Notamacropus eugenii: one gene and its partners. The protein of the gene in region 4 purifies or fractionates together with the protein of the main gene of each other region. This does not show direct contact. Links are inferred from orthologs where the notes say so. Each region holds a gene or a part of one and is shown on either strand. Other genes may lie near its edges.

Region 1 (7,152 bases), on a different chromosome or scaffold from region 4:
AGTTCCTTCTTATTTCAACCTATTTTCTGCAATCTTACCAACTAGCAGCATCTCTTATTCAAAATGTCAGTTACACTTTGTGTCACATTTAAGTACTGAGTTAGTGCTGTCTAAGTTAAAAGCTCCTTGAAAGTGGAACCACTTACTCTCAAGCAGTATCAAATCTAAATTAAAAGAAATTAATCTCTACCCACTTGGGTAGATGGGCACCTAATAAAAATCTGTTTTCACTTGCATTTTTTAATGGGAGAGAGGTGTGAAAAAAGGATAATAGGATAATACATTTTAAAAGTAAAAGGAAGTCCTAGCATATTAAATTCTGGGGTTTAAGGAGGGATGAGACAAAGATTTTATTTTAAAAAATGAAGATATGCAACAAAAGGATTTGGAGATTTCAGAAGTCTCAATGTATGTTTGTTAAACTGAATTCCTTTGAAATCTAAAATCCTGATTCCAAATGTAGTTTTTAAAAAGGTAGCCAGAATAAGATGACAAATACTTACTGTTCTGGGTTTGTCCATAGGAGGAGCCATAGCTGCTCTGACCATAGCCTGAGGTATCAGCTGATTGGCCATAACCACTGTAGCTCTGTTGGCCATAGGGCTGACTGCTTTGTTGGGAATAGCCTTGTCCAGGCTGGGTAGGGTAAGCTCCATAGCTATAAAAAGAACATAATTATCAAAAAAATGAAAGTTGGGACAGGGACATCTTGCCACCAGTGTATTCCCTTTGATGTCATACTCACCTTTGTGTGGCCTGTTGAGTGTAATCTGTAAGGGGAAAAAAAAAGTTTAATTATATTACTCTTATGTACATACACCAACCCTACACAGAAACCTATGTGCTTCAAAAAGCTTAATCTCAAAAAAGCATAATTTAAAAAGAGGGAGCAGTGTCACAAAAAGGATAAAGCTAAATATTCTAGTTCATAGAAGTGAGGATTTTCTGGAAAAAAATTTTTCTTTCATTCTAAAAGACTGGAGAAAGAAAAAAAAATCAGCGTGAAGGATAATGATAAACACAGCCCAAAGAAGTTAAAGAAAAACACCATAGACACCAATGTCTACAAAGTCACATTCATTGAAACATCCCAAAGTCATTCTCTCATGTATATGTGAAAACATAGAAAAATGGACTAAAAATGAAGACTATGAGGAATTCTGAGAAGCATGAGGATTCATGTGAACTGATTAAAAATAAGGCTAACGGATCAGGAAACAATACCAAGCTATACCTCCCAAAATAGATGAGTATATATCGAAATTTCCTTTGTAGGTTTATGTGGATATGAATATCCATGGTAGGATAATTACTATTTGAAAGGGGATGGGGAGGGGAGAGACAAGGAGGAAGGGAGTTTGATTGGTTTTGCCAGCTTGCCTTTGGTACCATTTTTATTCTTTTTTATAAGAAATAGTTTGGGGTAGAGATATGAGATCAGGATAATTTGGAAATAAAAAGGATGTGAAAACAACAAAAAAAGGTCAACGAAAATTTTCGTAAAATGAATTCCCAACGTTTCCTGACTAAAACTCAAACAGTTAGAAATATGACCATAAAGACCAAGACAGAGAAAGGCTAAGCAGTTTTTTAGGCGTCCTCCCTCCCCAAAAAGGACTCGCAGGAAATGGAGCAGAGAGGTATTCCAGAAGTCTCATTGTATTGAACTCCTCAGATAAACATCTTCCATGAAATCTCACCCCTTTTTAAGTTCAAGGGATTGAGGCTCTTTTGGAGAATAGTATGAAAGCCAAATAACCAAAGTAGACAGATGTCTTCCTCCATTCTTATTAAGAAACGTGGCGTTTGTTTTGTTTTTTTGTCCGGGTTCTGCCCCTTTCTCAGACTTTGGCAGAGGTTAAGTAATCTTACTTGCTTGAATCTCTTCGTAGTCATGACTACCTGCCCTACTTTTCACGGGGCTGCAGGAAGGCTCAAATTACAACAACCAGGGAAGCTAAAGGGTCATGCCCATCAGAAGCAGAATTATCACCCTGCTTACCCAAGGACGGCTGGGGCAGAGAACATGAATTCCGATTCTTTCAGAACAAAAAACGGCCCTTTCCACTCATAAAGAGAAATTACATTCAAGGAGACAGAGCTAATCCCAACCCTTCCTTCATAGTGCTAAAGGAGAGAAGCTCAACAAAGGAGTTCCATAAGAAGGTTGGCCTGAATCCCAACGCACCAAAAGTGATCTCCCGGGGCCGTTAGTGAACGGGCTAGGAGGGAAGGGGTCCTGGTAAACCTCCTCTCCCGGCCGACTGCCAGGCTGTCCATCCTTGGGAGCAAAACCTCGGCCGTAAGGTGGGAGAGAATCAGGAAAAGGGGGCGAGAGCGAACGCTGAGTGGGGGATGTCTACAGAGGAGCCAGGAAGAATCTGGGATGCTGAGAACCTGGGGGGAGGGACGCGCGCACCCCGATCAGGCCTCCGCTCCCGGGCAGGGCGTGGATCCCACGCGCGTGCGCACCAAAGTCGCCCGGATGCGGCACTGCGACAAAGCGGGCAGAGAAAAGCTCGCAGCGGGAGAAGGCGCTGAACGTTATTCCCCTCGGCTGCTTTATGCTCCTACTACCTAGGCCGCCGGGGGCTTCGTTCTCAAAAAAAGAGGATACCACAAAAAAGCCCTTCTACCAGTCAGCTCTTCTACACTAACGCGCCAGAACCACGGGACAAGATGGCGACAGCGGCCTCCCTTCTCCCCGCCTACCGCCCTCCGCTTACTTCCCGCCTAGACCGCGCGAGAATGAGACCCTTCCTCCCAGACACGGCCACAACCCATCCAACCATACTACCTTCCCTCCCGACTCCAGGCCCCCAAAAAGGGCTCCAGGCCGCTCCGAATGCTAACCCAACCGTCGCGCGAGGCGATCAGGGATCGGCTCACCTCCCCCACGAGCTCTTACCGTTGGAGGCCATGTCCGCGCACGCGCACACCGGCTGCCGAGCAACAGAAAATAGAAGGCAGCCGACCGCCGACGCCTCGAGGACTGAAAAACCCCACCCCCTGCGCTGAAACTTATGTACTCCTCCCCCTCCTCCTACGCACCGCAGAGGGCTGTACCAAGTCTAGGACATGGGGGCGGGCAGAAATGTAACGGGACGAACGCAAACTTAGGGAATTTTGAGAGGTGATCTACACAAAGAGATGAAAAATATAGACTATAGGAAACTTTTTATTTGCCCATTTTGTCTACGCTGGGCATAGAGGTAATATTGTTTCATTCTAATCAGAAAACCTGTAGCCTCCCCCTACGGATAGAAAAATGGTACGCTTTGAAGCAAAGGCAGGAAAAGAAAGGAAGGGGAGGTGAAGGGGGAGGGGTGACGGCCGTACGAGAACGAACCATTGGTGGTGATTGAGGGGGAGGAAGTCAGGCTCTGTTCCGGAGCCCGGTGGCTGGAGCGGAGGAGTTGGCCAGTCCTCCCCCCCCTCCTCTCCCCTCCACCCGTCGCCTCCTCCGGGAGCGGGAGGCGAGGAGCTGCTGCACTGTGGTTACAATGGAGGCCGGGGGGCCTGGCCCGCCTCCGGCCCCCATACACACACAGTTCCCCCCGTAATCCAGCCTGGTAACCCCTCAGTTCCCGCCGTAATGCTCCCCTTCCCCCCCCTCCCCCGGGAGCCCCCTGCCGGGCAGCAGTGTACTGGAGCCAGCCCCAGCGGTTCCTTTTTCGGTGTGAGCGTTTACGCCTCGGCCTCTGGCAGACGCTGCAGACGGGCTTAGGTTTATTGCCGTGTCCGTTATTCAGACTGGAGAAGAGGTTCGTGCGGACCAGGCCGGAGAGCACGTTCCGAAGGCCCTCCCCTCCCCCACGCCGCTCCCAGCCTCTGTGACGACCCTGCACAGACGGTTCCCCGCTCTGTAACCGCTGGGACTCCAGGGCACGTTTTCTTGGGTAGGCTGAGCTGGCTGAGATGTTGTATCTATCCACAGGGGCCTGTTCGTTCTTTCGTGTCTTAAGCACTTCCTGTGGTGAAAGAAATAGTCTTTTAATAATCTCTGTACGTGGATCATGTTTCTTAGAGGAAAGCTCGTTATCTACATGTGGGGAAGATCCTAAAGATGAGCCTTACCTGAGCCTGGTTTGAGATGTACCCTGAGGAAGCGGAACTGTGCCCCCCCTGAGCCCATGTGTCCTCCCTTGTGGGAGAGGGCTGAGCCTTGTTTTCTTTTATTCTTTGTTACAAGGGGTTTGGGAAGGAGAAGGAGAAAGAATTTATTTGAAAAAACGAGATTTCTTAGCTCTCTTAGTTGCAGGCAGACCCTGGCCCAGATGATCTCTGAGGATTCCTCAGCTCGGACATCACAAGACCCAAGGGTGGATTCTAGGATCGTGTGCTTGCTAACCTGCTCCTTCACTGTGTCCACTCGAGTGCACAACACGCACAGAGAGGGTGACCTGCAAGTGGAGGCAGGAAAGGAAAGTCCGCAGGGAGGCCAGCCTTCACCAGTCCAAGATAGCCTTGATTTTATTGTAGCTGTCAGATTGACAAAGACGAGAAAAAAGAAAAATAGTGAATGGTGAAGGGGCTATGAAAAGGCAGATGTGCCCATGAACTGGCCCATGAACTTGGCAAACGATGCGGGATTATACCCCCAAAATCATTAACTGTATACCCTTTGACACAGTAATACTTCTACTGAAATATACCCCCAACGAGATCAAAACCAGAGGGAAAGGTCCCACCTATTTATATGACAGAGTGTTTTATTGGAGTACTTGTCAGAAACAAATTTCGTGCCTGTCAGTTTTGGAAGTGGCTGAAAAAAGTGTGGTTTTTAAACATAATGAAATTATTTTACCATTGAAAATGATGAATATGAAGAATTCAAAGAAATTTAAGAATGTGAAAACATATTCAGAACAAAGTAAGAATTCTGTAATAACCAAAATAAATAAATTACACTTAAAGACTTCAGAATTCTCTCATCAATAAAACAATCTTGACTTCAGAAGGCTAATAAGGAATAGATAGATAGAAGATAGATAAAGTTAAACACTTACACTAAGCATTGGAAATAAAAATAGAAGCCCCAAAATGGCAGCCCCTACCCTAAATGTGCTTACATTCTAAAGGGGGAAGATAACATAAAAAAGGGGGTTGGAAATAGGGGAAGGGGGCACCAACAGGATACATCCCTACGTGAGGCTAAGGTGGAAAAGTCAGGCGGGTCAGGCACTAAGCCAAGATAGAATTGATGTAACTGTGGATGGTCTGGAGAATTCCTAGTCTTGAGAAGGGAATCGTGAATAGAAGAGGAGCTCCAGAGGAAGAAGCATCTTCTCAGTGAGAAGGTTGCCATTCCAGGGGTATGAGGGACCAGAGAGTCCCTCAGCAGAACTTAGCTCCATGTGAAAGACCTCACCAGTCAGATGAAGGACCAGAGGGACAGAGGTATTTTCAGGGTAAGAAGGCTGCTGACCAAAATGTGGAAGAGGCAGCAAAGAAAAGAGAGAGGCAGTGGATTATAGGTATAGAATGAGGCATACCCTTTAGAGAAAACCAATGTAGTGATCTACTTGATTATACTTAGTTGTAAGAAGGTTTTCTTTTGGAGCAGGAAAAGTCATAATAGGGAAAAAGAGCACCAAAAATATTTTAAAAGAAAGAAAATCAGTGGAGCCTGATTAGATCAGATGGATACTATTCTTGCCTTGGAGGAACTTGAAAATCTAATGGGAAGATAAAACAAGCATAGATTCCAGGTTTATCTATGTTACACATATAATTATATGTCAACAAAAGTACCTGATCAAAGACTAGAGCTCTAAAGGTTATATAAGGACGACAGACAGCATACTATTGTAATAAAGAGCACTCTTAGAGTCAGTTCAAGTTCAAGGCCCATCTTGGACCATGGACAAATCAGACTTTATGTCTGTTTCCCTCAGCTATACAATGGAGCTAATATACTGCCTAACTCATAACATTTTGTAAAGAAAATGCTTTGTATCCTATACTACAGGAAAGTAGGAGAGAAGGGGATAAGCAGGGTGAGGGGGATGATGGAAGGGAGGGCAAATGGGAGGAGGGAGCAATTAGAAGTAAACACTCTTGGGAAGGGACAAGATCAAAAGAGAGAATAGAAGAAATGGGGGGCAGGGGCAGAAATGGAGGGAAATATAGTCAGTCTTACACAACATGACTATTATGGAAGTCATTTGCAAAACTAGACATATATAGCCTATATTGAATTGATTGCCTTCTCAGTGGGGATGGGTGGGGAGGGAAGAAGGGAGAGAAGTTGGAACTCAAAGTTTTAGGAACAAATGTTGTGTATTGTTTTTGCATGCAACTGGGAAATAAGAAATACAGGTAAAGCGGTATAGAAATTTATCTTGCTCTACAGGACAAGAGAGAAGATGGGGATAAGGGAAGGGAGGGGTGTTAGAAGGGAGGGCACATTGGTGGAAGGGGCAATCAGAATGCAAGGCATTATGAGGTGGGGGAGGGGAGAGATGGGGAGAAAATATGGAACTGAAAATTTTGTGGAAATGAATGTTGAAAACTTAAATAAATTTTAGAAAAGATATCAATATATATAACAGAAAAAATAAAAAAGAAAATGCAAAAAAAAAAGAAAATGCTTTGTAAAACCCTTAAGTACTGAAATTGTGTATTATCATTATAATTGAATCAGGTGTAACAAGGATGTTGAGCAGGCCCAATTTCCCTAGGGAAGTCCTTGGCTACCTACATCTTTAAAACTGGTGACATTGAGCTGGTCACTCTCTTCTCTTCCATCTTTAGCCCCACTGGACCAGTAGTTCCAGCCATAGAGATCTTGGAGTGAGGATTACAAGTAGGGTAGTGCAGGCAGCCAGGCTAGCATGGAAGCTCTGAGAAACCAGGATGCCTGGGACTCCAGTCTGAGAGGAGCTGTGGACTTGAAACAGAAACTGTATTCTACGGGAATCCATGAACCTAAACTTCTTCCCTTCCCTAGAGACTGAGGTGGTGCAAAGAGGGGAGAAAGATTATATCTCCATGTGACAGGGAAGCATTTATGTGATTACACCTTATGAAGTAAGTATTAAGAGATGAATATTGACCTGTACGCTAAAGAATGGGGAATATACAACTTGGCCAAATATGGTACACAATCTGAATAGTCTAAGTATAGTCCATAGAACATATAGGAATTAC
Region 2 (7,543 bases), on a different chromosome or scaffold from region 4:
TTTTTTGAAAAACTACAATACTAATCTAGACTACCACACCATAATACTTGTTTGGGTTCACTTGATACCTACCACTACCACCGCCAAAGCCGCCTCCGCCTCCTCCGTTGTTATAGCTGTCATAGCTGCCACTCCCGCCATAGCCACTGCCCTGGTTTCCATAACCCTGTCCACCACTTCCATAGCCTCTGTTTCCTCCAGAGTAACCAGGGCCGCCTCCTCCATAACCACCTACAGAAGAATACAATTCTTCTCAGTAAGACAAATTTGACAGTCAAAAAATACATGCAAGCTTAAAGGCTCAAGGCCAATACACAGCATGCATGTTATGTTGGGACAATCAGGTCAAGCTCAACACATGCAGCACTTAAAAAACAAAAGAAAGACAACAAAAAAAGCAAAACTAGGCCTGTTCTAATGGGGGAGAGGAAGGGCCAAGAATCCTTTTATTTACCCAACTTGATATAATTATATTCTAAGTAAGATTTTAGCACATACCATCATTTCCAAATCCATTGTAGCCATCTCCACTTCCACCATATCCTCCACCACCACGACTGCCGCCAAAACCACCTGGAAGAAAAAAAAAAGGCATTCAGTTGGGCATCAGCTATCAAACCTAAATAAAAAAAAAAAAAACCCAACAAAAAAACGAAAGAAAACAAAACAAAACAAAAACCTAGTCATCCTCATCCAGCCAAGTTACCTTTACTATAACCAACTTAGGTACCAAATCAAGAATAACACCATATCCAAACCACTGGTGACCAAACTATCTGCCTGAAGCCAACAGTCCAAAATGGTAATAAATCAGAGGAATGCTACCAAACAGGCAGCAAAGTCCTGACAAAAGTCCAGAAAGAAATAGTAAGGATGGTCACTAGACTGGAGAGGAAGCAGCAAAGTTTCTCTTTTCCACATGAATACCTAAAAGCTTTAACAGAAGGCCCAAACAAAATTAAAAGTACTGCTGCTTGCTTACTGTGAAAATACATACCACGACCACTGAAGTTCCCACCACGGCCAAAGTTGTCATTTCCACCGAAGCCACCCCCTCGGCCACCACCAAAGTTCCCAGAACCACTTCGACCTACGCGCACACACACAAAAAGACCACCCTTAAAAAACTGGAGACAATAAGCACAAGATGGCAACCAAACCAGTGGTATAGAAAACTTACCTCTCTGACTAGATGAAGCGCTGGCCATTTCTTGCTTAGACAAAGCTTTCCTTACTTCACAGTTGTGGCCATTCACAGTATGGTATTTTTGAACTAGGAAAAAAATCTCCAATTAGAAACACCTAACTGCCGGTAAATCTCAACAAAGAAGATTTACAAAGCTTGGTTACTTCCAATACCATTTGTGATACTCACTGACAATCTTATCCACAGAATCATGGTCATCAAAAGTAACAAAAGCAAAGCCTCTTTTTTTGCCACTGCCTCGGTCAGTCATGATTTCAATTACTTCAATTTTTCCATACTGTTCAAAATAGTCTCGTAAGTGATGCTCCTCAGTGTCTTCCTTAATGCCACCCACAAAGATCTTTTTCACAGTTAAGTGGGCTCCTGGCCTTTGAGAGTCCTAGACAAGACGAAAAACAATCGGTGGAAATGGCTAGGAAACTCACAATCTCGAGGTCGCAGAAGCCTTAAAGGACTAACCCAACCTGTATTATAAATCGTTACTTCCAAAAAGATGAAGGAACATACCTCTCTAGATACAGCTCTCTTTGGTTCAACAACTCTGCCATCAACTTTGTGAGGTCTAGCATTCATGGCTGCATCTACCTCTTCCACTGTGGCATAGGTAACAAAACCAAAGCCCCTGGAACGTTTGGTATTTGGATCCCTCATCACCTGAGACATTAAGGGAGCAGAGACAACATGTTAGTAAGCAGTAAAGGCAATAAAAGGCACAAAAGTCTCTTGCAAGTACAAAAGCAGATGATGGGCCACTGAGCTTCTTGCACTAACCAATTTAAGAGGAAGTTATTTCCAACAAAAGCACATTTTAAAGATACCCCCCACCCCCACGTGTGAATTTTTCTCAGGATGTACAGCCACTTCCCGGGCCTCAGCACTCACCACGCAGTCTGTAAGCGTGCCCCATTGCTCAAAATGGCTCCTTAGGCTCTCGTCCGTCGTCTCAAAGCTCAGGCCTCCGATGAAGAGCTTCCGAAGCTGCTCGGGCTCCTTGGGGGACTGGACGACACGATTCAAAGAATTGGAAAAGGGAAGGGTCTTTAAGTCATGGCTGGTGGTCGGGAGGGGGGGGGGGGGGGAATCGGCGCGGGACCCTGGCTGAAAGAGGCGCTGCGCTTTAAAGTACACGCGCCCCCCCCCCCCCCAGCAGGGGACAAAGAGTGGGCCCGAGGTTTACACTAGCGCCCAGGCCCGCCTGTCAGAAGCCCGGGTACGGGTGGGTAAAGAAAGGGGGCAAAAAAACAACGCATGCGCAACAAAGAGAGGGTGGATGACCGCGAATACAAACGAAAAAAAAAAAAACCTGGTCGTCAGGCAATCGAAACCAGCCCCAAATCAAGGGGAGATAAGGCCAAACGAGACAAAGGGTTTGGGCCGGTGGCACTCGAAGAGCCTGTAACTCGAGGACCGCGAGGGCTAAAGGCTCATGGCGGCCGGGCCTACAAAATGGCGACCTAGGAGGGGGGGGTGTGGAAGGAGCAGGCCACAGCGACAGCAGGCTACAGAACTCACGGATAAAGGTCGTATTAGAGGCGTATTGGGCTAAGCACCGTAAGAGGATACGGGGAACAGAACAGAGAAGAACGAGATAGCACAATCGTTGGGCTGCGACTCCCTTACCTCTGACTTCGACATGGTGAGAGCGGTAGCAAAAGCTTCAGCGATCCTTCTCCAACGGTGTCGAGAACAGAAAGGAGATAGCTAACTAGCGTTTCTGTCTCCCCACCTTCGTACCCGCTTTTTAATCCCGCCTCCTCGCGTTCTGCATTGGTAGACTCCTCCCCTCCTTGTCAACCATTGGATAGCTCCAATCATTCTAGCTACCGATTGGTCTATGGTAGCGCATCTTTGCGTAGCGTAATGCGTTGCGTAAATTCCGCCCCGAGGAAGCTGCTGATTGGCTTCTGAGAAGTTCTTTTTTTTTTTAAAGCGCCTGATTGGCTCTCCTGCCAGTCACTCTTGTTTGAAGGTAACCAGTTTTTTTTAGGTAACTTTAATTTTTAATTGTTTAAAATATTACGCTATATTTAGGGAGGAAAACACTATTAAACGTGAAAAATTAAAAAAATAATAAATGACTAACAATTACTTCTTGGGCTTCTATTCTCTGAGAGCGCATGCGTAGTGCCACAGCCAATTAACGCAAGCGCAGTAAAAAGACCTGACGGCTATTTGTACAACGTGTAATGGCGGGGAAGAACGGACCTATGTAATACACCTGCGCAGTGGCGGGAGTCTTGTCCCTTTATGCGCATGCGCAGTGGGCGGAGGAAGGGTCCTTCGTTGGATCGCGTGCGCAAGCGCAGCGGCGGATCCGTTTTGGCGGGCGGTTGGCGTTGCGCAGAAGGCGGCGGTGGTTCCTTGTGGTCCGGCCTCTTCGCAGAGGAACGGGGACAAGGTTAGGGTGAGAGAACGCTCTCAGTCCCGGGTAAGTGGAAAACAACCATGTCTACACTTCTAGGTCCTTGGAGCAATTCCAATCGGGCCCGTTATTGTGTGAAATGAATGGACCGCTGGGGTGGGGGGGGGCGGAGGAAGAGCGACAGGGTTGATCAACCAATAGGCGAACAGGAGGCGGGTGTAATTGTCCTGATGGCCTGTCCTCTCGTCCAATGGCTGTATAGGAGGGAACCCAATGGATGAATAAGATTGACAAGACCGTAGACCAATTGAGACTCCATTTGGTGGTTCTTAGTAACTGACATCGATCCTTGGGCCACAGGAAGGCGGGAGGCGGGTTCTTTCCTGAGCTGGGACGCTCTAAGCAAATTGGAGAGAAGTGCGCGGGGAGGTTGGGCTCGCCAGAGAGACAAGGGTCTGAGCCCAATGTGAGAGATGAGGGCTGGGTCTTTCAGATAGATGGACCAGGCGAATAGCCAATGGGAGGTCAAACCAAGGAAAGCGCGCGGGGAGACGGCCCAATCAGCGCTCTGGCGGGGGGTGGGTTTAGATTTGGGGTTCCGAGGAAGGAGGATTGCCTTTTGGGGGTGGGGATCCCTAGGGGATGACTTGTTTTTCACGGAGGTCTGTGGGCTTGCCCAGTCCCATCTGTGGTCCTGTTCTGAGGCTTGTAAGCCTGATTGATCATCAGTGCTTGCCTTTTCTTCGGCCCTTTTTCCTCTTAGGGTTCAGTGCAGGCCAGGGAAAGACTAAGACCACATGTTTGTCTACAACCTTGCTTTGTACCCTATAGGCACACTCACCCCAAGACCACATGTTTGCAACCTTGCCTTGTAACACATACTTACACTGCAAGACTACATAATTTTTCTGGAATCTTGCTTTTTAGCACATAACACCCTCATCCAAGACCACATGTTTGTCTGGAACCTTTCTTTGTAACACGTACATACACTCCAAGACTACAAATTTCTTTGGAACCTTGCTTCTTAACACACATGTACACCAAGACCACATATTTGGAGCCTTATTTTTTAACATAACATAGATATTTGTCTGGAACTTGCTTTTTAAGGCACAAATATACACACACACACCTTCCCCATTTCACCCCTTTTCTTTTGCAATGAAGGAAATTTCAGACCTCTCTCTATCTAGTCATCTGGTCATCTGAAACTACCTCACTTGTAAAATGAGGAAACTTCCCAAGTAGCCATGCCTTGGGGAATCCAGAAGCCTTTCAATAACCAGGATGAATCCTTGAGGAATTGAGGTGATTCCAGATCCACACTTACCTATTCACATGTTCGTGAATGAAAGAAATGTCATCAGATGCTTTGTTCCAGACTAGTTCAGTAAGGGTTAATAATTGAGCTTCTTTGGAAGTAGCATAATTTAGGAAATTTTATTATATAGTCCCCTCTGACTTTGTACACAAAAGAAATAAAATTTTAAAAAGACATTTGGTAAATAAAAACTCAAAATTTGCTTTCCTGCTCATTTCCATTTTCTGTGATCTATGCAAAAGATGAAATCTTCTGAGGAGGCCCTGTAATTTCCTTGGTTTAGGGAAGCACAGAGTAAGGAAATCAAACTCCTTAAAGTGTCAGAATTCCTGGGATAGTTTAAGTGACTTGCCGGGGAACACTCAACCAGGATATATGTGTCAGAAACTAGACTTGAACCCATATTTTCTTAACTTCAAGACTATCTCTCTATCCACAATAACAGGATGTATCTGAAAGTGATCTAACTAGTCACAATCTCAGTATTTGACCACAAGGTGTGATGTGAGATGAGTTAAAATTAATCATTATATCATTTGTTTTAAAGGTAGGAGGGAAATGAATAATTTGATTTAATACCACATTTGATGAGAATCTCATGTGAACCTTTATCTGCCTTTCATATAAACTGGAGATTAAACATAGGGAGAAAGAGATATGCCATATGATAGTAGTATTTGAAAACCAGATTAACAAGTGTGTGGACTCTTTATTTAAAGATCTGATAAATCAGATCTATAGGCTTCACATTTTCCAAGAAAAGTGTATTTTTTGTGTTTTCCATGTATGGTTGAATAAAAACAAAAATTCATTAAAATTTTTATTATTGTTACTAACCTGTGACCTGTTAATTGCTATACATTTGTATTGTGTTCACAGACGTTGAATGCTTAAAATGAGTGTGAATGTGCTTTTGTTCAAAGTGGACTTTATTTCATTATTTCTTTTATTTTCAGCTAGGTTGGACCTCTTAACAAGCCATTTTAATTAAGTGGTTTGTTCACACTTTTTCTTTGGAAACTAGGTCCCCAAATCACTCCCTCTTCCAGTCAAGAATGGACAGCTGATTTACCATCTTTGGGAAAAGGTGTCTTCTTTGTCTGTGAGGATTCACCTTTGCAGCCTGTTAAATATGAAATGTGTGAACATGGCAGTTTGAATGACAGATTAAGTGAGTAAGGATTGGGAGGCTGAACAGCTTCAGGTTCAACCCCAGAAGTTCTTGGTTGTACAGCTAAAGTAAGCAACAGTTCTTGATTTAGTTTGTTTTGTTGAGAATTTTCCTCTTTTTAAAAAAAATTTTTTCGTTACATATTAAGTTCTAAACTGTCTCCCTTTTACCCTCTCTCCTCATCCTGAACTTAGAGAAGGCCACCATTTGAGACTGATGTGTGTGTGTGTGTATGTATATACACACACTCTCTATATATGTATGTGTACATACACACACGTAGGCATATATGCATGTATGTAAAACCTTACACTATATACATATATATATATATATATATATATATATATATACACTTCTATTTATCAGTTTTTTCTCTAGAGATGGATAGCATCTTCCTTCATAGGTTCTTTGTAATTGATTTGAGTATAATATTCAGAATAACTTAGTAGTTCATAGTTATTCCTCAAACAATATTGCTGTTACTGTACACAACATTTTCTTGGTTCTGCTCATTTTGCTCTCTTATTTTATGCAAGTTTGTCCATGTTTTTCTAAAATCAACATGCTCATCATTTGTTATAACACAGTAATATTCCATCACAAATCCTATATCAACTTGTTCAGCCACTCTCCAATTGATGGGCATCCCTGCAATTTATCCCTGCCACTACAAAGAGAACTGCTTTAAATATTTTAGAACGTAGGTTCTTTTCCTTTTACCCTGATCACCTTGGAAAACAGATCTAGTAGTGGTATTGCTAGGACAAAGGGTATACACAGTTTTATAATTCTTTGAGTATAATCCCGGAGTGCTTTGTAAAATGGTTGGATTAGTTCACAGTTCCACCAATAGTGTACTAAATTTCCAATTTTTTTATATCCCCTCCAACATTTGTCATTTTCCCCTTCTGTCATTTTAGCTAATCTGATAGGTGTGAAATGATATCTCAGAGTTTTAATTCGTATTTCTCTAAACAGTAATGATTTAGAGCATTTTAATATGACTATATATTGCTTTGATTTCTTTGAAAAACTGCCTGTTCATATCCTTTCACCATTTATCAATTGGGGAATGACTGACTTGTATTTTTTAGGAAATTCTTTTAACTTGTATCCAATCTTCCTTCCCCCCTTCCACTCCATTTATTCCTCATGGAATAGTCTACCGTGTTTATGGATAGAATTTGTAAATTTAATATGAATTGACTTCTAGTCCAAGGTGTTAAGTAAATGTTCTGGTAAATTTTATCCTGTTAACTCCCTGCCATTATGCAAGTGGGGACTTTTTATTTTACATCTATTATTGCTAACTTGGTCAGCCCTGAAGTGAAGCAGCGGAGGTGCTCTTTGTGCCAAAGAAATTCTCATTTGACCTAGTCATGTAATATTCAATTTTCTTTTTCTGCCATTGAAAAATCCAGATTGAGGAATAAGCTGGTAGAGATTCTATTAACTGTATTGAGCATTGAACTCACC
Region 3 (6,906 bases), about 130 Mb from region 4:
CAGAATCGTCTTGTGTTACTCAGATTTCTTTTCCTTTGTATTTGAAGACCTTCTCTTGATCACTTGCAGAACTTGTTTCTGAAATGATGTGTCAGATTTAACTATCATATGTCTTGGAGTTTGTAGCCTTGGATATTTTTCTGGAGGTGACGAATTCATGAATATTTTTCAATTGCTATTTCATTTTCTATCACAGAAGGTCTGGATAATTTTTCTTCTATTATTTCTAGCATTGTGATGCTGAAGATTTTTGTGTCCTGTTATATTCTTCTAGGAGACTTTTGATCTTTAGGTTGTCTCTACATGGCCTGTCTTCAAGATCAGTATATTTTTCTTGCATAATAGTGAATATATGTTCTTTTAATGTGATTGTTTTTTGCTTTTCTTCTTCTATATTGTCCTTAACTTCTGTATTTTTGCATTTCCAATCTATTTTTCTCTCTTTTGTTTCTTTGGTGATACTTGCCATCATAAATACCAGTTTTTCTATTCTGCCCATTATTTTTGCTACACAACCATAAATTCTGCTTTAATTCATATTTCTCCTTTGAACCACTCAGGAATAGTGTGCTGTGATTCTATGTTGTCCTTACATTCCAAGGTCTTCTGTCTCATTAAGTGTTGGAACATTTTCCTTTGTTTTATAGTATTTATTCATGATTTGCTCTCTCTAAAAGCAATGTTCCCTTCTGTTGTTAGTGTTTTCCTTGTTGATTTATTTGCTTGTGTTCAAGGTCTTTGAGTTTTCATCTTCCTGAGTTCATTTCAGTCTTTTTTCCTTATTTTCCCCTATAGCTTACTTTCTGATTCTGCCCTCTTTGATGGTGGTTACTTTGGGGGCTAGATTTCAAAGTGCCCCAGCCTCCTCTTGCACTGTGCAATTCATGATTCATTAGCTGAGGTCTCTGCCTCAGGTGACCTTTGGGTTGACAGAAATGGCCATAGCTGGATGCTGAGCTCTTCTCTGTGGTTTAGTGAAATGCTACATGGTTCCTCTACTTTCATAGTATATTGTTTCAGTGTTTTGTTCCATTCCTTCTGTTCCTCCATTCTTTGATCTGATACTGTTAGTACAGAGCTTTGTGGTCTGGTGGTACAAGATAGTCTGTCATAGCACTGTCTGTCATGGCCCCCAGCAGGCTTCTGCTTCTGAAGGGCTCCCACTATACTGGCTGTCACAGCCCAAGAAAACTTATACAGCCTGGCGTCAGGGGCTCCAAAGCACTGGAAAAATGGAAGGGGGATGATAGTGTGGAGTTAGATTTTGTTGCAAGTCCATATGTCGGATGCTTGGGTTTTCTAGTGTAGCCTCACTGTCGTAGCATAGGAGGTGGGAAAAGGATGCTGAGTGAACTCAGGATAGGCACCAGGTCATGGTGCAGTTTTTTTTAACCTTCTTCTGGATTCTAGAGCATGGGAACAGTTGAAGTTGCTTTATTTTTGGTGCATAATTTCTGTTTTAGAGAGGTTTAAGAGGTTGTAAGGATAAGAAGAAACGTTTAGTTTTCCATCTTCCACTTCACTTGATACTTGAGTTGCCTTTCTCATTCATGAATTATCATCAATAGTTAGCTTTTATATAATGCTTTAAGGTTTCCAAAATGTTTTACATATGTAAGATGACTGGAATATGCACAGAATGGCACCATGACATGTAATGGAAATACCTTGGAGAAACTTGACCATACATTGACATTCTGGAACTGGCACTGGTCTGTTAACCATGTGGTTAAGAGAAGCCTTTTTTGTTTGCCTGTGTAGGTGGAACTGGAGATGTCTTCAGAAAGGTCAGAGTCAAACTGGGGTCTGTGACTTTTTAAAAAATATAGCAGTATTTCAGTATAATTTGGTTTTTTTTTTTATTTTGTGCATTTAAAGACATCATTCTGAAAGGGGCCCATAGAATTCACCAGTCTGGCAAGGAGGGCCCTAACCAAAAAAGATTAAAGACCCCGTTCTAGTCCCTTAATCATCATCATATTTGACTCCTCTCTGCTTGAAAAGTTCCAAGGAGAGGGAATCTACCACCTCCGGATGCTGCTCATTTCATTTTTGGATATTTATAATTATTAGGAGGTTTTTTCTGACATCAAGCCTAACTTTGCCTCTTTCTTTTATCCATTGTGTGTAGCTCTGTTCTAACCAAATAGATCAGTTCACAGCCATGCAAACTATTATTGTTTAAAATAACTTTTTATTGATAGCTCTTGTTTTTATGCTGTTTATATTTACCAATATAAAAGAAGCTATCTTTTATAACAAAGAATAAGAGGGAGGGAAAACTGGGAAAACTAAAAAACTTATCAAAAATATCTACATTAATATGCAGTATTCCATATACCTAGTCCTTCAGCTCTGTAAATACTAACTCTTAAATATACTCCCACTTAACTGACACCTAAGGCAACAGGTTCCAATACTGGGAGCTAACTCAAAAGATCAACCTCTCTTTGGTCCCTCCCGGAGTTTATTCTATGAAACTCTAGAATACAGGGGTTCCCCACACTAACGTCTAGAAGAGAAATATGAGTAAAAAGTATCTATTTTTTTTTACTTATCACTATCCTTTTAACCTGAATAAGCACGAACATTAACGTACATTTACTTAGCTTTTAAGTGAACGCTTCTTTCGTAGAAGTGAATGAATTCGCTGAATTTGAATGAATTTCAAAATTGTAACATAATTAGTTCATAATGATTACAGGATGTGATAAAAAGACATAGATCATCTGATAACTGTTCTCAGAATTGCTGTTATTTTTCACACTGTCTTCATTTTATTTTCCTTGTTCACAACTCCTAAAGGCACGTTACTGGGGTATTTGTGTCCGTGTCATAAACTGACTTCACTGACTTTTACTGCAATTGCAATAGTTACAGCGTTTAGTAGATATTTCGCAGTAAAGCCCTTCACCACCGATCTCCAGCCTATCTTTCCAGGCTGACTGCGCTTCTCCTCACAACTCCGTGCTGCCGTTCCATGTGTATGTGACCTGCGCGCTGTCCTCTCGTACACGGCGCTCCATCTCCTGTCTCTCGTTCCCGGAGCGGTGGCCCCTTCACCTCTGCCTCTTGTAAAGGGTCACCTTCTCCAAGAGGCTTTTCCTCTCCTCTTCGCTAAAATCAGCCCACCTTTAGTTTGGTACGCTCGGCCCAGGTCAGGGGCTACCTTGCCCGTCTGCCGAGCTCAAGCACCTAGAACAGCTGCTAGCACGGACTAAGTCCTTAACTCGGGCTTGTTTCTAACAGAACTGAACTGGTCCGTTAAGGTTCGCGTGAAAATCCGGTCCCGTCAAGGAGACGGGAACCAGAGGACCACAGCTAGAACCCCTTCTTCTGCGTCTTGGCCAAGAGGGGGAGGGCAGCCTTCGTCATCACTGACGTTCCTCACGTTGCTAACATACTGTAGTTACTGTTTCAGCCTGGAAAAAAAATCCTGGGATTTCCGGACCCAGGCGACCACCTGGGGCAACCTCCGCTGTGTGGACAGAGGAGGACACCGAGGCTTAGCTTGCCCAAGGTCACGTGACGGAGGCGCGGCAGGTGGACCTTTTCCAGGGTCCGTGTTCTTTCCCTGAAAAGTCCGAGTTTCTCTTCGCACAATACGTGGCACGCAGTCTTATGAAAGGCAACCTTCATGCTCACAAGAAAGTGCCCCGGTGCAGGCTGCGGGACTCGGGTCCGATGTCCAAGGTCCTCCCCCAAGGGATCGGCCACAAACGGACATCGGCCCCGCCTCCAGAGAAATAACGGGCTCTCCCGAGCGGTAGCCCCTCCCACCCACGACGGTGGCTCCCCCTATTGGCTTCCTTCCCCCAATTATCCCCGCCCACCCCTGCGTCTTTTGCGTCTTTGGTCACGTTTCCCGCCCCCATGCCACTTAAGCGCACGCGCAACTTTTCTTTCCGCTTTCCTTCTTCCGCTGCAGTAGGAGCCATTTCGCGACGGGCTGCGCGCGGCTGGCTGTGTGTCTGTGGGGCCTCTCTGAAGGAACCGAGCCACGCGCGACTTTCGGAAGAGCAGCTCTTGGGGACACGGGGAAAAAGGCGGTAAGAAAGGGGAGTCATTCCCGTCTTTGGACGCGGCGAGGATGAGTGGGCGGAGACTGTTTTGTTTTGTTTTGGTTTTTTTTTTTTTTTTTTTTTTTTTTTTTTTTGCTCCTCTGCAGTTACCGCTTTGTCGCTTAGCGCGGGTGAGGGGGAAGGGTGGGGGTGGGGTAGCCTTCGCAGTGTCCCGGATGTTACTGTGCATGCGCGTTCTCGTCCTTGTGCGCATGCGTCAGGAGGGAACTCCGCTCACCCAATTCAGTAGCCTTTTTACTACCTCCAGTTTGTGTAAGAGAAGTGAACGTATGTTTTGGGAATCAGGTACCTTCGCCGTTTATTCTTTCTCCCAGATAAACAAGCGAACTTGTGTTTCTCTAGTCTTCCATAATGACACTGTTCGTCGCCATGAGCTCCCAGTCTCCAACTTGGGCACAGTAACAGACTCCCGTAGTTGTGGCTCCTGCCACTTTCTCACTACTTGGGCCTGGTCGTTGTGTGATCTTCCTTTTTTTAATACCTGAGTGTGACCCACGATCCGCTTAGCTTGCGCTTTGTGAATCTTGAGGTCCGTAGTAGGTCTAGATTTGCCACGGGCCACGCACACCTTGGCCGAGCTCTTCCTTATTAATTTTGAGGCAGTTTTATGGGTCAGCAGTCCTGGTCGCCGTTGGTTTGGCAGCTGACCAGATACAGATGATAGTTATAAGACTTGGGTGCACATTTTCTCTACCTGTAACTTTTAAGAAAGGCCTGTGACTCAGCATCTTCAGATACCAATGTTGTACGGTCAGGTTTTTGGCATATAAGAAGCCATTGTATCTTTTACGGTGGAGACTACCATAAAAACCTTATTTTCCCAGAAGAAAACCTCTTATACATATTGCGAATTTGCAAACAAGTTAAAGGATGATTACCTGTAAACTAATCATAGGTCATAGAGCTGGAAAGGGATTTCTGGATGATACCTAGTTGAGTGCCACCCTTTCCCCTAGGGCTTACAGTGATTTCTCCAAGGCCTCTCAGCCAGAGAGAAAATGGAATCCAGTGTCTTTTGGCACAGAATTCAATTGATTACTTCACCCATTATGTACCATGGGTATCTTGTTTTTCGTTCCCCAAGTACATTAAAAATATTTCAGTAAATGTGTTTCTGATTACTCAGGAGTGTGAAAGGAATGGGACTTCTAGTGTTACACTGGAGGAGGAGCTTGCTAATTGTCCATAATCTGTAGTTCATGTACTTAATTTCCTAAATGTAATATGTGCCTAGACATACCTTAAGTCTTAAGGCAGAATGAAGTACATAGTTGGATAACACAAGATGTTCTGTATACATTTTAAAAAATTTTACCAAGTTTGTATTTATTTGTGTGTTGAAGTATCTTGCTCTGTTCCTTTGTATATGATGATATGCATTTCGCTGGTGTTTTGAATTTATTTTTGACTTTTTCTTTCTCAAGGTTTAACAAGACATTTACATCATGGGTGATGTCAAAAATTTCCTGTATGCATGGTGTGGGAAAAGGAAAATGACTCCAACCTATGAAATAAGAGCCGTGGGGAATAAGAACAGACAGAAATTCATGTGTGAGGTACTAAAACAATATAATTCTTTATGTGATTTATAAGAAATAAAGTTTATATTCAAGGAAGGGAAATTCTATCTTTGAAAATAATTATGCGAAATATAGTTAGGAAGTGAGGTGTAGGGGGTAAGAGTGTATGTGTGTGTCTGTCTACTTGCTGAACTATGTTGATAAGAGGTTTATACCAGCTTAGACATATTTAAATATGGACTCCCTTGTCCATACCAGTAGGGCAGAACAAAGGAATTGAGGCTAATGAAAGTGCAACAGTTTATCAGCTATATGCTCACTTGTTCTATTAACTATTTCCGGAGTTGGAGCACTACTGATGTACTATATACATAAGTGCTTGCTTTGTAATATATAAAGAAAGCTTTCTTCATGAAATTATCCAAATTTTGCTACTGAATATGCTACTATATGAGTACAGAGGATCTAGATTTTATTGTGTGGTAATTTTTTCCCTAGCCAAATGCTGTATGTGATTATTCAAGCACCTATACGAGTGGAGCTGTGTATTTGCCAAGGGTTTGTAGAGAGCTATTCTAGAGATTTGTTATTGTTAGACATTTGCTGATGTCCAGATTCTTTATTAACTCTTGAAGTAATTTTTTTTCTGTTTCAGGTTCGAGTGGAAGGTTTTAATTATACTGGCATGGGCAATTCCACCAATAAGAAAGATGCTCAGAGCAATGCTGCCAGAGATTTTGTTAACTACTTGGTTCGAGTGAATGAAGTTAAGAGTGAGGAAGTTCCAGCTATTGGAGTAAGTATAAAATTACTCTGCCTCAATTATGTGAGGAAACTCCAGGATACTAATTTTGTCTACTTTGAAGCATTTAAAATTTTCCTTCAGATACTTTAACATTGCTCCAAACAGTAGCAGGGTCCTGAACTAGGTTTCAGAAGTTTTAAGTTTTGTTCTACTTTGGTATTTACCTGCTTTGTTATCTTGAGGAAATCCTTGAATTCCTCTCTTATAGTTGCACATTATCAAGGTAATTTTTATTAAGAGCTTCATTATGAGTTAGCAAAAAGGTATTTTTATTATGAACAAAATAGTAATCCCCTTTCGATTTTAGGGGTTTTTCTGTGTATCTATCCATGTATTTAATGTGATTGGGGATAAACATTTATTCTATTCTGTTAAACTGTTAACTTTTTGCTGGTACTTTTTTAAGTATAAGCGCTTTCCATCTTTATTAATATAGTTATCATTATTCTCCCAAACCCAACCCCTTCCTAGCTTCTGTTTACCTAAGTGATACCACTAT
Region 4 (7,373 bases):
GGCTTCAAAAGGGGAGATAAAAGATCAACAATCCCATTTCTTTACACCAAGCTGTTCCCTAGAGCCGAACGTTTCCGAGCGGAAGGCAGATAACAGAAGGGCCCGAGTTCTGACAGCTCGCCACCAAACAAGGGGAGGTCCCCCGGGAGCCTCATTATGCACCCCGGTGGGTGGGCTCAAGATGAAGGTAACCGCGGTTACATAAGGCCGAGGAGGGAGGGAGGGGCCGCCCGGGTACCAGGGGAGGAGTCGCGGCCCCGGGCGGAGTCCGCCGGGCCGCGTTCCCGCTTGGGCGGCGCTTCCCCCTTTGTCTAGCATTTCACTCTGCGCCACATTTTCTCAAAGCTGCCATTTTGAGCTCCTCCGCCGGGCGGGGTAACAAAGGCGCCGCCGCCATGTCCGGGGCCGGCATTTTGTCTCGCCAGCTCCCCGACGGGGCAGAGACCGGCCGCCCCCGCGCCCGAACGGCTTCGGAACCCCCCCAAGCCAGGCTGATTAGGGGACTTTTCTGGGGCTCCCCAAATGCCGCAGACCATCCCGCCGCACTCACCCCCGCTTGACGTCGCCTTTACCTCGTCTCCCCACCTGGGGCCTGTCCCCCCAAATCACAGCCCAGACATGAAAATAAGCGGCATCACAACAGACCCTTACATCCCTTCAGCACTGAGGGACAGGGCCACTAGACGCGGACCGCCGGCGCCCGAGGCCTCCTGTCGCCGACAGGGCTCCAGCCCACTTCCTCTCGACCCCACCCCCACCCCACCCCTTCTCAGCCGCGACTGACAAATGTCCGTACTCACCCTCGATCCCGGCCGCGGTCTCTGTCGCTCGAGTATCCAGACATGGCGTCAATGGTTGCGGTTGGAGGGAAGCAACCGAGGAGAAGCGGGAAATCGCAGGGGAGGGGGGAAAGGTGGCTTCGGCGGTCGCGAGGCCGTGCGGGGGCGGGGACTGAGACGGAGGCTGCAGCTAAAACAAGAGGAACCCAAGCCGGTGGAAATGAATGAGGAGCCAGAGGGCTCCCGGCAGCCGGTTTTATACCTGGACCGCCTCCTCCGCCGCAAAGCGCGATGGGAACCGCTCTATGACCTCATCGCCCCACCCCCTTCTGGGAGGGGGAGGGGGAAGACGCTAAGGTAACAACACCCGCAGGCGTTCCGAGCGCCGCCATGTTCTAGCCTCTGGTGGCGAGCCCAGCACCCCTCCCCCACCTTAGCTCGTTATTAACTCTTAGCGGCCCACCCGCGGATGTTTCCCTTTGCTTCGCCCCTTCTCTCAGGGAACGCCCTTACATTTCACCAATTCAGGAATAGTCAACCTCACTCTTAGGTTTTCCTACGCTAAGGCAGGCCGTAAAACATTAACGTCACCACCCCAGACTAGACGTTTGCGACTCTCAAGGACCACAGTACGCGGTCAGGGAAAAGGAGGAGGCGGAGGTTCCTCCGATCACGTGAGCGTAACCCGCAGCCCACTGGGCCGGCCACTGCACTATTTATCCACTCACTTAGGCGGAGGTATACGAAAAATGTAGAGCTGGGCGGCAGGCCCCGGCACCCGGCCGGCTACCTCCCTAGGTTGAATGGTTATACTAGGTCGGCCACCGGTCTGTCTAACCGACGGAGCGGCCTGAAAAGCCTGAAGCGGGAATAATCCCGCGGGGAGTTGTAGTAGTAGCCCCTAAACCGCTGCCTGGCCGCGTGCAGCGACAGGAAGTGCACCCAGATGGCCAATCAGCAGCGAGAAGCCGTTTTAACGTCCCTCCCTCGCCTCCCCCAGTTACCTTACGGTTCTCCTCGCCCTCCCCCCCCCCGCCCCGCGTCGTCCTGCCCCGCCACACTCCTTTCCCTTAACGGTCCCTCCAGGACACCGTTCCCCGCGAGCCCCGCCGGTGTACAGCTCTCGCGGACATGGAGGCCCGGGAGGAGGCTGGTGAGTCTCCCAGCTGAAGCCGACACCCATGGGTGGCGGGGGAAGAGGAAGTGTGCACGCTGCGAATGCGCGGGGCCGCCGCTCCTCCCCTTCGCCGGCTTGCCGGCTGGCGGGTGTGAAGCGTTTTTACCTAGCCTGAAAGCGCTTTGAGCCCATGCCTCTCACCCCCAGCTGAGCTCCAGAACTCGCTCTGGGGAACCCCGGGCTCCCTGGGAGGCGTGTTCCGAGGGTGGTTTTATGTGATGTGTCCCCTGTTGGGGTTCCCCTTTCCCTCCCGAGGCGGACCTGCCAGCTGAGAGGGAGGCACCCCAGCGGGCCTAGGTCTGGGGAGCACACGCCGGGCTCCGTAGGGCAGGCGAGGAGGGAGAGCTTGGTTATCTCACCCGAAACGCTGCTCCGCAGGTCTGAGCACCACTCGGCAGCTCCTCTCACGCGTTTGTTCTTTTTGAGAAGGTAGATTTGCGCTGATTGTAGGAAGTCGTGGTTTTTGTGTTGAAGGAACCTGAACAAAATACATTTTCCGACCGGAAAGCTGTTGGTGAAAACTCCAAGTTAGGTCCCTGGTCTTCCTTTTCTAATTCCTGTTATCTACGTATTGCTTGGGTCTGGCAGCAGAACAACCAGCTCGGTTTTTCACTTAAAGCTTTACCTAGTAATGTGTTTATGGTGTGAAATATTCACGTTGAGGGTTGTCAAATTAAGTCAGCAAGCGTTGTTTTAGAGCCTTCGGTGCGCCGGGAAGTACCCCCGAACCCTGAGGGTACAAAGAAAGGCAAACCCAGCCGCTGGGTACAAAGGAGATACAGACAGGACAGACTGAAAAAGTTCAGTGAAAAGGAAAAAAAAAAACCCCGGCACTCGAGGTCTGTCTTGTAGAATGGCCAGCTTTGTGCCTTGGTTGAGTTGCTGCTGTCCAGGAGCAGACAGCTGCTTTGGGCACCGCAGTCCATTATTGTAGTAGCTTGGGAAGCTTGACCGTGGAGAGTGAGTACTGCTGGATAGGTCTCCAGTGCCAGAATGACAGGGAATTGGTTTCCTATGATGGTTATCAGTTTTACCAGAATCAGATCAATCTTAAGCACCTCCTGCGAGCTAAACGCTGAGGAAACTGACAAAGGTGAAATAACCCCTCCCCTCCCGAAGCTTGTGGAGGGAAACAACATGCACGTAACTATGTATCAATGCAAGGCAGTGTTTGACTCCAGGACACCAGCAGCAGCTTCATGGAGAAGGTGGTGGTTGCGGAGAAACTAATGGAATCATAGCTTATGTTCATCTTAGAAGGATGAAAATTATTTTGACATTCAAAAGCTCACCATTTCAAAGTTCCTGGTGTTCCATTATTTTCACATCATGAGCTGCAGTTTAAAGTTGTGATGAAGTAACATTTGGGCTCCCATACACAATCTTAAAAATGTAGTACTGATTACTTTTGATTATTTCTATTCTGTTAGTAAAAACAGTATCTCAAAAGTGGATAAATTTATAATTTACTTAAAATACTAACAAAACTAAACCTAAGTCTTTTAGGAATTTATAGTCAGAGCTGTTATTTTCAGAATAATATTTAGAGTATGACTTTTCCCTACACTTGTAAATATTTTTAGTTTAAAGACAGCTTTTTTTTGATTCCTTATCTACTTAAGTAAACAGAACTCCATACTTGATTTTTTTAGATTTGCTTTTTTCCAACTCGATAACATTTTTTTACATCTTTTTTTTTCCAGAGTGGGTATCAGTTGCCAATAACCTTCTTTTGAAGTGTCATATTTGGCTGAGGATACAGTCTCTTTCTGAGTGTGATGCAAATGTGTTTATTACTCTTTATCATTCTATCTTGGGAGAAGTAGTACCAGGTAAGAATACTAAGACATGGGGTCAGTTTATTTCCTATATTTTGTCTCCCAGGACTTTCACTGCAGTTTAGTCTTTTTGCAATTACAAAAAAGAATTCTACCTATTTGAATTGAAATGTTACATCCGTGCTGTAATGCCCTGATGACAAACACAACTTTTCCAATTCTAAATCCATGTATGGTATTCTGAAGCTTAAATACTTTGGTCACATAATGAGAAGACAGGACTCTTTGGAAAAAACCGTGATTTTGGGAAAGATTGAAGGCAAAAGGAAAAGGGAAGTCAGAAGATGAAAAGGATAGATAATGTCACAGAAACAATAAACATAAACAGACTTCAAGAAATGGTGGAGCATAGAAGGGCCTGGCATGCTATAGTCTGTGTGGTCATGAAGAATCGGACACGACTAAACAATGATGTTTTAAGTCATTTTGTCAGGATTTAATAACTGCTTAATTGCAGCTCTGCTGAATAGATACATTAAAATGGCACTGAGATTGTATAAGATCCAGTCAGCATTTAAAGGTTTAAATTTCATTTTAATTTAGGAGAAAAAAAAGCATATTTACTTGAGGGAACTGAGTTTGTTGGGTTTTTTTGCCTTTTGAAGTCTAATTGTCTTTCAGAATTTGAATTCTTTATGTCAGTATTAGTGTGCTTTTCCCACTGTTTCCTCAGTCATCTTTAACATAACTTACTGCCCATGTACAATGAATCATCATTGATTAGAGATTCTGTGGTCCTCTTCCTCTCCACCATTTCTGCTGCCACACCCCTACACTAGACCCCCTGATGACCTGGATTAGTCAACATCTTCTGAATTTGGTATTTTGCAGTTATAAAACAATGTTATTTCCCTTTCCTTCACAGACCTCATAACTGTCCCTAAGAACCAAGAAGATCATGCACACAATGTACAAGCAATTATTGATTCACTGGCCTTGGATTACTTGCAGGTCAGCTTGTCCCATATAACAGGTTAGTAACGTGAACCATCTCAAACTGAATTCAAACAATTATATTTTTCCTGAGGAAATTATTTTGTTTCTTTGGACTCTATGCGTCATTTAATTGAGCAGATGCTGAAAGGGTAAGAACACTGGATTTACAGTCAAGAGATCTGTAATTTAATGCCCCTTTGTAATTAAGCCTTGAAGTAGCAAATATTTATCAGTTTCCCGCTCAGTACCAGGCACTTGGCATTGATGTAGTTGCAGAGTGTTTTACATATATTCTCATTTGATCCTCACAACAATCCTATGATAATAATCCAAGTATTGTGGCCATGATTATACAGATGAACAGACTGAGACTTGAAGAATAGAAATGACTATTTCCTCATGATCAGACACAGGAAAACATGACAGAGGTGAATTGGAACCTGTGTCTCTTCTGAGTCCATAGGTAATACTTTTACAAAAACATACGCTCTCCCAAGCCTTCCAGCCACTATTTTCTCATCAAATCACTTAACTTCTCTGGTCTTGTTTCCTTATTGATAAGAATGAGGGAATGGGACTAGTAAATTAATTTGTTCATTTATTTTCCTTCATTTTGTTTATATTCAGACATTAAGCATCTGGTGCTTTGCTCCTTGTTAAGAATCAGAGATAGAAAGTTGAAAACACACTTCCTGCTCAGTTGGATCTTACATACTTGCAAACAAGTCACTAAGACACTAAGACAGATAACTATAATGTATTTTACTATATAAGTTCATTTAGGAGGTGCAGAATAAATGGTCAAATGGTGGTGGTTTAGGGGAGGGAAATAAGAACACTTCATAGAAGTGGCATTCAGTTGTAGAAATTCAATTAGAGAAGAGGGAAGGAGGGAATTCTAGGCTTATGAGATTGTGTGAACCAATCCAAGAAGGTGGGAAAGTTCATGGTGTGTCCAGGAGCAAAAAGTAGGTACAATCCATCTGGTTTTCCAACAGTGAGAAGTTATATGAAATAAGCTGAGTTAGTATGACATAGTTTTAATGTCACAGTTCTATTAGTCACAGTTAAGACTGGCATCTTCATCTTTCAGATGAGGAAATTGGGGCCAGAAATTAAAGGGAACTCAATTGAGAGTGTAATTACAATACACAGTATGGGATGCTGAGCAGCTAAATTGTTCTCCCCACCCTGGAAAGCAGAGACACCCTGGAGTTACTTACAATTGTGTATTCTGATAGGAAATGAAAACTATGCAATTTCTGTTTTATTGAGTGTTCAGCTTTTTTTACTCCTCATTTTTATTCCCAGGAGTTCTTCTAGGCTTCAAATTCTTGCTCTGGATGTGTAAAATAATAACCATTATCTAATGTTATTTAAAACAAAAAAATCTGCTATACCACCCATATGAGTGGTACTAAATGGAGCCTTATTCATTTTAATTATGAATAAATAAGTGAATTCTCTCAAAACCAAAACTTTCACCATTACTTCTCCTCATGTTGTTTTGTACTACTGCCAGTACTGAGATAAAAAAAAGTTTAAATGGTCTTTACACATAAAGGCTATATTTTTCATAGGCTTTTAAGTTCATTTTGTGAATTGCATTGCCAATACAGTTAAGCTCTTAACAGTTTCAATAGCGCTTAAGAAAGTCCCTCCCCTTTAGTTTCCTTGCATGTTTTTGCCTACCTGATTAGCAAAAAGTGTGAACTCTTAAGTGTGTATGAAGAAGTAACTATATGAAATCTTATCTTTCATATCCAAATAGTATTTATATGGTAAATATTTACATAGTGTTTTTCATACATTAATTCATTTGATTCACATCACATCCCTTTGAGATAAGTACTACAAGTGTTGTTATCCCCATTTTACAGATGAAGACACTGAGGCTCAGAGAGGTTAAACGATTTTTTCCATTGTCACACAGTTAGTAAGTGTCAGAAGCAGGACTTGCACCCAGGTCTTCTTTATTTCAAGTACAGCAGTCAATCAGCCAGGCTCTAGCCCAACAAATTTCTCCTGAACAAAGTAGCATCTTCATGCAGGTAGGGACCTATAAATTCAAGTAGAATGTCTCCCTCTGATAAAAATTCACTAAATGCTTTTTATCTTATTAAAAATATAACTAGAGGATGTGCCATTTCAGCCTGTCCTCTTAAAAATAAAAGGAATGTTGGCTAAATAAATGCATATAAATGTAATCAGAAAAGATGAATATGAAGAAAACCAAAGCATGGGAAAACTTGATATGAACTGATGCAAAGTGAATTAACAGAACCATAAAAGCTATGTACATAATGATTACAAGTATGTAAAAGAAAAAAACCCAGCAACATAAATTGAAAACAAATTCTGAGAATTTGAATCCAAAGGAGAAATAGGAATGCACTTCCCTCTTCTTTGCTAAGATGGAGGGTTAAGGGTATGAAACGCTCTATGTCACACTTGGTTGTTGTGCTAGTTTTACTGAACTGTTTTTTCTCCCTCTTTATTCTTTGTTACAAGGGATAGCTCTCTGAGAGAGGGAGATAGAAGTAATATGTTGAGAGATAAAGTTGATTAAAAACAATTTTTAGAAGATAATGCTAATAAATTGCAATCAGCAAGCATCTATATAGCACTTAATATTTGTTAAGC

Evidence for each region.
Region 1: the proteins of DDX5 (region 4) and FUS purify together in Homo sapiens (affinity purification with mass spectrometry; 5 studies listed by BioGRID and IntAct, with this or other methods). This does not show direct contact. The link is inferred for Notamacropus eugenii from reciprocal best matches to the Homo sapiens genes DDX5 and FUS.
Region 2: the proteins of DDX5 (region 4) and HNRNPA1 purify together in Homo sapiens (affinity purification with mass spectrometry; 4 studies listed by BioGRID and IntAct, with this or other methods). This does not show direct contact. The link is inferred for Notamacropus eugenii from reciprocal best matches to the Homo sapiens genes DDX5 and HNRNPA1.
Region 3: the proteins of DDX5 (region 4) and DHX9 fractionate together in Homo sapiens (co-fractionation; 3 studies listed by BioGRID and IntAct, with this or other methods). This does not show direct contact. The link is inferred for Notamacropus eugenii from reciprocal best matches to the Homo sapiens genes DDX5 and DHX9.

What each region holds. Positions count from the first base shown.
Region 1 is NC_092874.1:377,559,255-377,566,406, forward strand, and holds the start of FUS (RNA-binding protein FUS), read right to left. Parts: upstream 3,001-7,152; 5' UTR 2,922-3,000; coding exon 2,909-2,921; intron 771-2,908; coding exon 746-770; intron 659-745; coding exon 504-658; intron 1-503. UniProt on the Homo sapiens protein: DNA/RNA-binding protein that plays a role in various cellular processes such as transcription regulation, RNA splicing, RNA transport, DNA repair and damage response. Binds to ssRNA containing the consensus sequence 5'-AGGUAA-3'.
Region 2 is NC_092874.1:227,403,399-227,410,941, reverse strand, and holds the start of HNRNPA1 (heterogeneous nuclear ribonucleoprotein A1), read right to left. Parts: upstream 3,011-7,543; 5' UTR 2,843-3,010; coding exon 2,828-2,842; intron 2,207-2,827; coding exon 2,090-2,206; intron 1,862-2,089; coding exon 1,715-1,861; intron 1,587-1,714; coding exon 1,376-1,586; intron 1,274-1,375; coding exon 1,181-1,273; intron 1,091-1,180; coding exon 998-1,090; intron 574-997; coding exon 499-573; intron 232-498; coding exon 73-231; intron 1-72. UniProt on the Homo sapiens protein: Involved in the packaging of pre-mRNA into hnRNP particles, transport of poly(A) mRNA from the nucleus to the cytoplasm and modulation of splice site selection.
Region 3 is NC_092873.1:462,361,170-462,368,075, reverse strand, and holds the start of DHX9 (ATP-dependent RNA helicase A), read left to right. Parts: upstream 1-3,897; 5' UTR 3,898-4,049; intron 4,050-5,506; 5' UTR 5,507-5,527; coding exon 5,528-5,638; intron 5,639-6,257; coding exon 6,258-6,398; intron 6,399-6,906. UniProt on the Homo sapiens protein: Multifunctional ATP-dependent nucleic acid helicase that unwinds DNA and RNA in a 3' to 5' direction and that plays important roles in many processes, such as DNA replication, transcriptional activation, post-transcriptional RNA regulation, mRNA translation and RNA-mediated gene silencing.
Region 4 is NC_092873.1:327,525,298-327,532,670, forward strand, and holds the start of DDX5 (probable ATP-dependent RNA helicase DDX5), read right to left. Parts: upstream 3,008-7,373; 5' UTR 2,316-3,007; intron 1,933-2,315; coding exon of another isoform or gene 1,911-1,932; exon of another isoform or gene 1,800-1,910; intron 1,598-1,799; exon of another isoform or gene 1,508-1,597; intron 1,454-1,507; exon of another isoform or gene 1,293-1,453; intron 970-1,292; 5' UTR 845-969; coding exon 801-844; intron 1-800. Other genes in the region: CEP95 (centrosomal protein of 95 kDa), read left to right, coding at 1,911-1,932, 3,660-3,788, 4,660-4,767. UniProt on the Homo sapiens protein: Involved in the alternative regulation of pre-mRNA splicing; its RNA helicase activity is necessary for increasing tau exon 10 inclusion and occurs in a RBM4-dependent manner. Binds to the tau pre-mRNA in the stem-loop region downstream of exon 10.